2 linked regions of the Arabidopsis thaliana genome follow. The protein of the gene in region 1 interacts with the protein of each later gene in a pairwise test. Each region holds a gene or a part of one and is shown in the gene's direction. Other genes may lie near its edges.

Region 1 (5,397 bases):
GTGGCTAGACAGCGGACGAACCCGTCCCTTCAAACGTGGCTCACCTTTCGAACCACAGAGAGCAGTTTACACTCCAACTGTCAAAAACGTGTTCCCATGACGTCATCCTCAACGTATCTTTATCACTTTTTAAAACTAAAGACTGTTTTGTCTTTTTCTAAATCGTCCCCTTTCTCCGAACACCATACTTAAATTCAATAAAATAATAAATATCAAAACTGAACCATCGAATCGGAACCAGCCACAGTACACAATACACTTAGACGAAGTAAAGTGATTCAGAAGGACACGTGTAAGTCACATACCGTGGGACACTTGTCGTTACCAGATCCTCCGTGTTTCTCACTTTTCTTATAAAATAAAAACACAACACTTCTTCACTTTCTGTAATAAAAATATCTCCAAAAGTTCCAACACCTGAAAACATAAAAAGATAGAAAGAGAAATAAAACATCTTATCCAAAGAAAAAATGAATCCATTTTACTCTACATTCCCAGACTCGTTTCTCTCAATCTCCGATCATAGATCTCCGGTTTCAGACAGTAGTGAGTGTTCACCAAAGTTAGCTTCAAGTTGTCCAAAGAAACGAGCTGGGAGGAAGAAGTTTCGTGAGACACGTCATCCGATTTACAGAGGAGTTCGTCAGAGGAATTCTGGTAAATGGGTTTGTGAAGTTAGAGAGCCTAATAAGAAATCTAGGATTTGGTTAGGTACTTTTCCGACGGTTGAAATGGCTGCTCGTGCTCATGATGTTGCTGCTTTAGCTCTTCGTGGTCGCTCTGCTTGTCTCAATTTCGCTGATTCTGCTTGGCGGCTTCGTATTCCTGAGACTACTTGTCCTAAGGAGATTCAGAAAGCTGCGTCTGAAGCTGCAATGGCGTTTCAGAATGAGACTACGACGGAGGGATCTAAAACTGCGGCGGAGGCAGAGGAGGCGGCAGGGGAGGGGGTGAGGGAGGGGGAGAGGAGGGCGGAGGAGCAGAATGGTGGTGTGTTTTATATGGATGATGAGGCGCTTTTGGGGATGCCCAACTTTTTTGAGAATATGGCGGAGGGGATGCTTTTGCCGCCGCCGGAAGTTGGCTGGAATCATAACGACTTTGACGGAGTGGGTGACGTGTCACTCTGGAGTTTTGACGAGTAATTTTTTGGCTCTTTTTCTGGATAATAAGTTAGTTTAGGGATTATTTGGACATCTAGGATTGGTCCGGAGTTCCGTACCTGTATTTTTTGTTTGGTACCAAATCTTTAGTAATAAATCGTCTATCATTTATTCTTGTTAGAATGTTCTTTGTTTGTTTTTGGTAAACAGATTTGATCAAATTAGAGCTATAGAATTTGAAAATTTTGTTTTGTTGTATCTGAAACTGTAAATAGATTTCTCTTTGTTTCGTTGATGTATTGACAATCTTTACCAAATTTCCAGAGCTTATAAAAGCTTGAAACCTCTGCTTTTCCAAATATAATCCTGATTCACATTATCATATATTCCTTGTAGACTCAGCAAAAAAAATTAAAACTATAAAATCTCTTACACATTAGTCCAAACACGTGAATGAGTAATAGAGGTCCTTGACCATTAGACTGATATAGCTTCTATATTGTGGTTCTTAAAAAAGGTAGAATATTTATATGTGGCCTCAAGCTTCTCATGAGTCACGCCTTATGGTAATCATCTATCTTTTTTCTTCTAAGCAAACACTGAACACTTGGAAATCTTTTCACTAGAAAAACATGTCCCTGGCCCTCACTAACTTTACATGTCCTTTTCTTTCAGTTATAGAAGTGTGGGGTTTCTTGGCTCGCTAGATTTAAAAACCCTTCATTATGTATAGGGTTGTGCTTGTGCCTAGAACCCTTCATTCCAAGGCAAAAGCATAAACCTACAATCCGGTCTAAATCAGAACCGATTTAAACCGAGAGAAAACACTAAAGTAATTTTGTAAAATAGAGCCATCATAGGGATAAAATAGTAACTAAACAATAGACGTCAAGCTGACGCGACTGGTGTTCACTTTCTCTTTCTCTTCTACTACTTCTGTCCTCTCCACGAAGATCCAAAGCTTATAAACACATACAAATAAATCCACTCCAAAGTTTTTCTCTTTTTTCTCTGCATTATTATCACTTCACCACATTCACAACAATCCCAAATTTTTCTTTCTCATACTTTCATATTTTGATTACTACTTCTCAGAGATTCTTTTGGTAATTAGGGTTTCCTCCAATTTTGCAGCTTGATTTATCTATATACCAATCGGAAAAATCCTTACTTTTAAGTTCGGTCTTGTGTTAATTTGCGTCTGTTGTTATTGTAATCTAGAGAAAGAGAGTGAGAGGCAATAAAAAAAGCTATGGATTTCGATTTGAACGGAGGAAACAAACGAGTCTTCAACAGACTCGGTGGCGGTGGCGGGTCAACTCGTCCGATGGCACCAACGGATACAAGACAAAAGGTTTGTTTCCACTGGCGAGCCGGGCGTTGTAATCGTTCTCCTTGTCCTTATCTACATCGGGAATTACCGGGTCCTGGTCCGGGTCAAGGTCAAGGCCCGGGTTATACGAACAAAAGGGTCGCTGAGGAATCTGGTTTCGCGGGTCCGAGTCATCGGAGAGGACCTGGGTTTAATGGGAACTCGAGTAGTAGTTGGGGGAGATTTGGTGGGAACAGAACGGTGACGAAGACTGAGAAAGTTTGCAACTTTTGGGTAGATGGGAATTGCACATACGGTGATAAGTGTAGATACTTGCATTGTTGGAGTAAAGGAGAGAGCTTTGCGTTGTTGACTCAGCTTGATGGTCATGAGAAGCTTGTTAGTGGTATTGCTTTGCCTTCTGGTTCTGATAAGCTTTACACTGGAAGTAAAGATGAGACCTTGCGTGTTTGGGATTGTGCTTCTGGACAGGTATGGTTTGCTCAAAGGACCTTAAGCTTTCCTCAGTGATAGAATTGTTTGGTTAGGATATAGAGTGGCTTTAGAGAATGCAGTTGTTGTCCATGGATGTTATTGTTGTCCTCTCTAGCTAGAAAACCATGTTTGATGAATAGTTATAACTGCTTGGTTAAGATTTAGAGTGACACAAGAGACTGCAATTTGTCATAAGTAGAGTAGTGAGCACTGATATATCGATGGAAATTGGTGTCTTTGTTGTCAAATTAGGAAAGGAAGTGTCTAATTCGCTGATGCTGATTGTATTTGAGGAATGCATTTTCTGATCTTGTGAAAGACTGTTTCAAGTTTACTTATCGTGGATATTGTTCTTTTCTCTTTTGATTAGTGTACAGGAGTACTCAAACTTGGTGGGGAAATTGGCTGTGTGCTTAGTGAAGGCCCGTGGCTATTAGTTGGCATGCCAAACCTTGTCAAGGCAAGTATTCAGTATGATTCCTCTTAACAGTACTTTTCTTTGACTGTCACAATAGATATCGAGGAACCCTTTTCATTCTTAGATGCTTATGGGGTTATGTCTCATTGTTGTTGATACAGGCGTGGAATATTGAAACCAATGCTGACCAGAGTCTAAGTGGACCTGTTGGCCAAGTCTATTCTCTTGTTGTGGGTACTGATCTGCTCTTTGCTGGAACACAGGTAAATTTCCAAGTTTTCTTTTCTTGCTGAGATCTCTGCGAAATAGTCGGCTTTTGGTTATATAAGTGACAAGTTCTTTACATTCTGTGCAGGATGGCTCTATTTTGGCATGGAGATATAATGCTGCCACTAACTGTTTTGAACCATCAGCGTCACTGACGGGCCATACACTTGCAGTTGTTACCTTATATGTTGGGGCGAACAGACTTTATTCGGGTTCCATGGACAAAACTATAAAAGTAAGTACTAGTATTATCTATTATATTTGAATTGAAAACTCTCACTATTTTTTTCTTTCTTTGAGCTAATCTTTTTGGTTTATATGTTTTTTGTTTGATAGGTTTGGAGTTTGGATAATCTACAGTGTATACAAACACTCACTGATCATTCATCAGTTGTGATGTCTCTCATTTGCTGGGATCAATTCCTTTTGTCTTGTTCATTGGACAACACGGTTAAGGTTAGTTCGTCTTTCTTTAACTTTCATAAATTTCTTAAGTTTCATTCTTTCTCTTGTTAATGTGTTTTTCCGCTGTAGATATGGGCTGCAATCGAAGGTGGCAATTTGGAAGTAACATATACTCACAAAGAAGAACATGTATGGTTTCTTTTATAAATGTGTTACCTTCTCTTATGGTCCTAATCTATATGTTATGTGACTAAGAAATTTTGGCAATGTTTAAACTGGATTCAGGGAGTGCTAGCTCTATGTGGTGTACATGATGCAGAAGCCAAGCCTGTTTTGTTATGCGCTTGCAATGACAACACCTTGCGCCTCTACGACTTACCATCGTAAGACTTTCAACGTTTATGTATGAATTCTTCATCTCTTTCTCTCTTATTGGTTCTGATAGCTTAGGTTTGTTCATTAGATTTACGGAGAGGGGAAAAATCTTTGCAAAGCAAGAGATACGGGCGATCCAGATAGGTCCCGGGGGCATATTTTTCACGGGTGACGGAACTGGTCAAGTTAAAGTATGGAAATGGTGCACTGAACCAACCGCGGCTTTGCCTTGAGAAAGTTTGATGCTATCGTCAAAGAGATGTTTTCTACGATTTTCTTGTACCATTATATATGAGTCTATTTTGGAGACTTTTCTTTCTTGTTGAGGTCCTCCTAGTAGAAGCCACGGTCTGATGAAATGGACAGTGGCCAAGATCGTGTCATGTTAGGAGTTTTGAGACAGAATCGGGAGAATTTAGGTCCCTTTTTGTCCAATTTCAGCATTTGTCTTGTAACGCTTGGATTGTATTGGTCAATTTATCATAAAGGATTATCTTATTCAAGAGAGATTCAGAGTTGATATACAATGGATAACAAAGTTACAGAAGCTTCCTTATTATGAAACCTTAATATGTTCTTAGAAAAGCAAAGATTGTTTTCAGAGATTGAACATAACTTTGATGGCATTGCTCCCACGAGCACTGGTTTCAAAGGCATCTTCCACTTCCTTTTGAGAGAAACCGAATCTGTGGGTTATGAGTGGCTTTACATCAATCTTACCACTTGTCAGGAACTCAAGACACAATGGCCATGTGTTCTTGTACCTGAACACACCCACCACATCTACCTCCCTGTCTCCAAACCAACACATTTACTTGGTTATTATGTGATTGTACTTTTCAAAAGTTAGAAAGTTTCTTACTATGATGGTCAAAGGAGGTTACCTTGCAGCTGCAGGAGTGAGAGGGACAGTCATTATACCGTGACCCATTCCGACAAGACAGACTTTACCGCCACAACGAGTGGCTGCTAATGCTGTCGACATGGTTTTGTTAAAACCCGCACAGTCGAATGTTACATCG
Region 2 (3,385 bases), about 18 Mb from region 1:
GTCGATTTCGCAGTAGAAGAGTCCTTTCGCCGTCTCCGAGAAACTCGTTGCAGCGTCACGACCAGGTTTCCTTCTCACTTTTACTAAATTTTGTAATTGCTCGGTTTTTTGTTTAGTGCGAGTTTACTCTGGTCTGAAGAGAACATTTTGGGTCTGCTTATTTACAGTTGGAGAAAATGTCTTCTAGAGGAAAAAGGAAAGACGAAGATGTCAGAGCATCAGATGACGAATCTGAAACCCACGCGCCGGCTAAGAAAGTCGCAAAGCCAGCAGACGATTCCGACCAGTCTGACGATATCGTCGTCTGCAACGTTAGTCTACACTTTCTGTCTATCTTTCAATTTCGTTATCTACTCTATTAGCAGTGAGCTTATGGGTTTCGGTCAAGTTTTAATTTTGTTGATGTGTTTTGCTCAAAATTAGGGTTTTAATCAAATTAGGGTTCATGTTGGTTATACATCAGATATCTAAGAATAGGAGAGTCTCTGTAAGGAATTGGAACGGGAAGATTTGGATTGACATTCGTGAGTTCTATGTCAAGGACGGAAAGACTTTGCCTGGCAAGAAAGGTAACTTTATTTTGTAATTTAAACCAATGCCCCTTGGCTCTCATAATTCATTATTTCTAGTAATGTGTTTCCTCATCTCTTAGTTTTATATTTCGTTACTGTTTTGCTTTGTTAAGTTTCTGCATTTAGTCAGGTTTATAGAATTGCATATCTTAGGGTTTTATAATAGGCAATTCTGCTTATTGAGACTGTTTATGGACTTGTAAGTATGAGCGGAGATGGTGCAGAGTGTTTGCTTTTGTACAACAACGTTTTGTTTATTTTGGTGCTATTGCTCCTTCATGTCTTTCTCTAGAGACAGCTATATTAGTTTATCTCTACATAACTAATCATGTTGACAAGATTATCTCTATGTTTGTTATACGTTGCAGGTATCTCTCTAAGCGTGGATCAGGTACTCACATCTCTTTCTATCTCTCTCCACTGTTTTATGTCTCCTAGAAGTGTTTCTGTTTTCTTGTTATTTGCTTATTACACAGCTTTTCCTTAATGCAGTGGAACACTCTTCGGAACCACGCAGAGGATATCGAGAAGGCCCTCTCTGACCTTTCTTAGGTTTTAAAACTTGTATCATTGGTTGTACGTCTATTAGAATATGGCTCAGTTGTTTTGGTTGTTTTTGTAGAACAACACCATGTTCTGCTAGTGTAAGCTGCTTCAAATTAGTTGGTGTATGGAATCTTTCACTTTTGGTTCAGACAAGCTTTGGTTGGTATTAAGAATATAATGATTGCTCTTTTATTTACTGCTGTAGTGCTGTTTTATTTGCAAATTAAGATACGTTGCAGGAATACAAGTATTCATTTGATAAGTTATAAACAAGATAGGTCTAAATGTTACATAGCTCTTGCCAAACTTCACTTGATCCGGACAAGGCCATAAGCAGACATTGTCTTTGAAGATGAACCCATCACAATAAATGTATCACTCTGTGTTGCTACTTTCATTGCTATAGTTGCTCTTTTCCAAAGAATATTTACCTTCCCAAAAAACTCCCCCGTTTTAAGTTTGGCCGCGCGTGTTCTCAAACTGTGCGCTTGTAAAATGGCGTTCCGAATCTGATATCACAGTTGTAATTCGGTGAACGCAGTAGATATATTACGCGAGAAAAGGAGAGAGGTGCTTTTTATTTAACTTGAGAATCTCAAGAGTCAATTTTTGCAGTAGAAGAGTGTTTTTTTTAGAGGTTAAGAAAATGTCTGAGAACGGAAAAAGGAAAGACGAGGATGTCAGAGCATCAGACGACCGCGACGAATCTGAGACCCACGCGCCGCCTAAGAAAGTGGCAAAGCCAGCGGACGAGATTGAGGACATCTTCATCTGCAATGTTAGTCTCTCTACTATTCATCTCTTTTTTGTCTGTAGCAGTTCGTATGAGTTTTAGGGTTTGGATCAAGTTGTGATATTTGTTTATGATGTTATGTTTTGTTTACATTCCAGTTAGATAAGAATCGGAGAGTCTTTGTGAGGAATTGCAATGGGAGGATTTGGATTGCCATTCGTCAGTTCTTTGTCAAGGACGGTATAACTTTACCTTGTAATAGCAAGCAAGGTAAATTTTTGTTTTTAACTACATATCTTCTTTTGACTGTCTCTCTTCTTCTCACAATTCCACATTTGCTAATACTCTGTATCCTCCTCTCTTTTCTTTTTTATGGTCAACAATGTATCCTCATCCCTTTGTTTTCATGTTTTGTTTCGTTAAGGTTCTGCATTTAGTTAGCAGATCTTAGGGACTTTTATTATATATCTAGTACTTCTGCGGTTTGGGACTGAGAGGAGGAGATGCGCAGAGTGTTTTCTTTTCATCAACAACGTCTTGGTTTTTGTCTCCTAGGGCCAGCTATATTAGTTTGCTTTCTTTGCATAATCATGTTGACAAGATTTTCGATGTCTCCTATATGTTGCAGGTATCTCTCTAAGCCTGGAACAGGTATTCACATCTCTCTTCCATTGTTTATGTCTTCCACACGTGCATATGTCCTGCTTATTACACGAGACCTTTTTCTTAATGCAGTGGAACGATCTTCGGAACCATGAGGAGGATATCGATAAGGCCCTCTCTGAGCTTTCTGAGGTTTAAAAGCTTGTGTAATCGGGTATTGGAAGGTGGCTTTGGTTGTTTTGGTTTGTTTTTCAGAACAACACCATGTTCTGCAAGTGTTAGCTGCTTCGAGTTAGTTCATGTGTTGAATCTATTATTTGATGTTGATTACTCTTTTATTTGATGTTGGATTTACAACTTGAGATACGTTGCAGGAATACAAGCATTCATTTTGATTAGTTATAAATAATATATATAGGTGATCTAAATGATAACATAGCTCTTGCCAAAGTTTACTTAAATGATCCGGACATTGTGCTAGAGAGCTGGGACACTGAGCGATCCCACGTCAAGAACTCTGTGCAATATCTGCAGCAAACCAATCACGAAATGACAAATTATTAAGGCTGACAATCATGAAATAATATGGATATTTAAGGCATTTTCAAGGCTGAAGGAAAGGGAAGAGCTTTATGCTATGCTCATACCTCACCAACCCTAGCATTGATTTTCAATGGAACAATGTCATCAGCTCTTGTTTCGCCTATATTTACAATTGCGGTCATAGCACCAGCCTCATGAGCCGCTCTGCAAAAGGTATATAGAAAGCTTCTTAGTAAGATGCAAACTCAAAACTGGATGATTATTCTCCTGCATCACCTGCAAAGGCGAAAAGCAGACATTGTCATTAAGGATGAACCCAACACGAGGAATGCATCGCTCTGTTTTGCAACTTCCATTGCTTGAGTAGCTCTTTCCTTCGGGATGTTGT

Evidence for each region. Proteins that work in one complex are often made in the same cells at the same time.
Region 2: the proteins of AT5G51980 (region 1) and AT5G09240 interact in a two-hybrid assay, tested with the Arabidopsis thaliana proteins (one large-scale study listed by BioGRID).

What each region holds. Positions count from the first base shown.
Region 1 is NC_003076.8:21,112,861-21,118,257, reverse strand, and holds AT5G51980 (Transducin/WD40 repeat-like superfamily protein), read left to right. Parts: upstream 1-2,060; 5' UTR 2,061-2,209; exon of another isoform or gene 2,210-2,324; 5' UTR 2,325-2,355; coding exon 2,356-2,907; intron 2,908-3,280; coding exon 3,281-3,370; intron 3,371-3,489; coding exon 3,490-3,591; intron 3,592-3,683; coding exon 3,684-3,830; intron 3,831-3,931; coding exon 3,932-4,051; intron 4,052-4,129; coding exon 4,130-4,189; intron 4,190-4,285; coding exon 4,286-4,383; intron 4,384-4,463; coding exon 4,464-4,608; 3' UTR 4,609-4,897; downstream 4,898-5,397. Other genes in the region: CBF4 (C-repeat-binding factor 4), read left to right, coding at 471-1,145; AT5G51970 (GroES-like zinc-binding alcohol dehydrogenase family protein), read right to left, coding at 4,974-5,166, 5,260-5,397.
Region 2 is NC_003076.8:2,873,160-2,876,544, reverse strand, and holds AT5G09240 (ssDNA-binding transcriptional regulator), read left to right. Parts: upstream 1-1,695; 5' UTR 1,696-1,764; coding exon 1,765-1,896; intron 1,897-2,009; coding exon 2,010-2,121; intron 2,122-2,406; coding exon of another isoform or gene 2,407-2,479; coding exon 2,480-2,652; 3' UTR 2,653-2,885; downstream 2,886-3,385. Other genes in the region: KIWI (ssDNA-binding transcriptional regulator), read left to right, coding at 177-311, 464-569, 941-1,059; SRT2 (sirtuin 2), read right to left, coding at 2,932-2,982, 3,102-3,201, 3,274-3,385.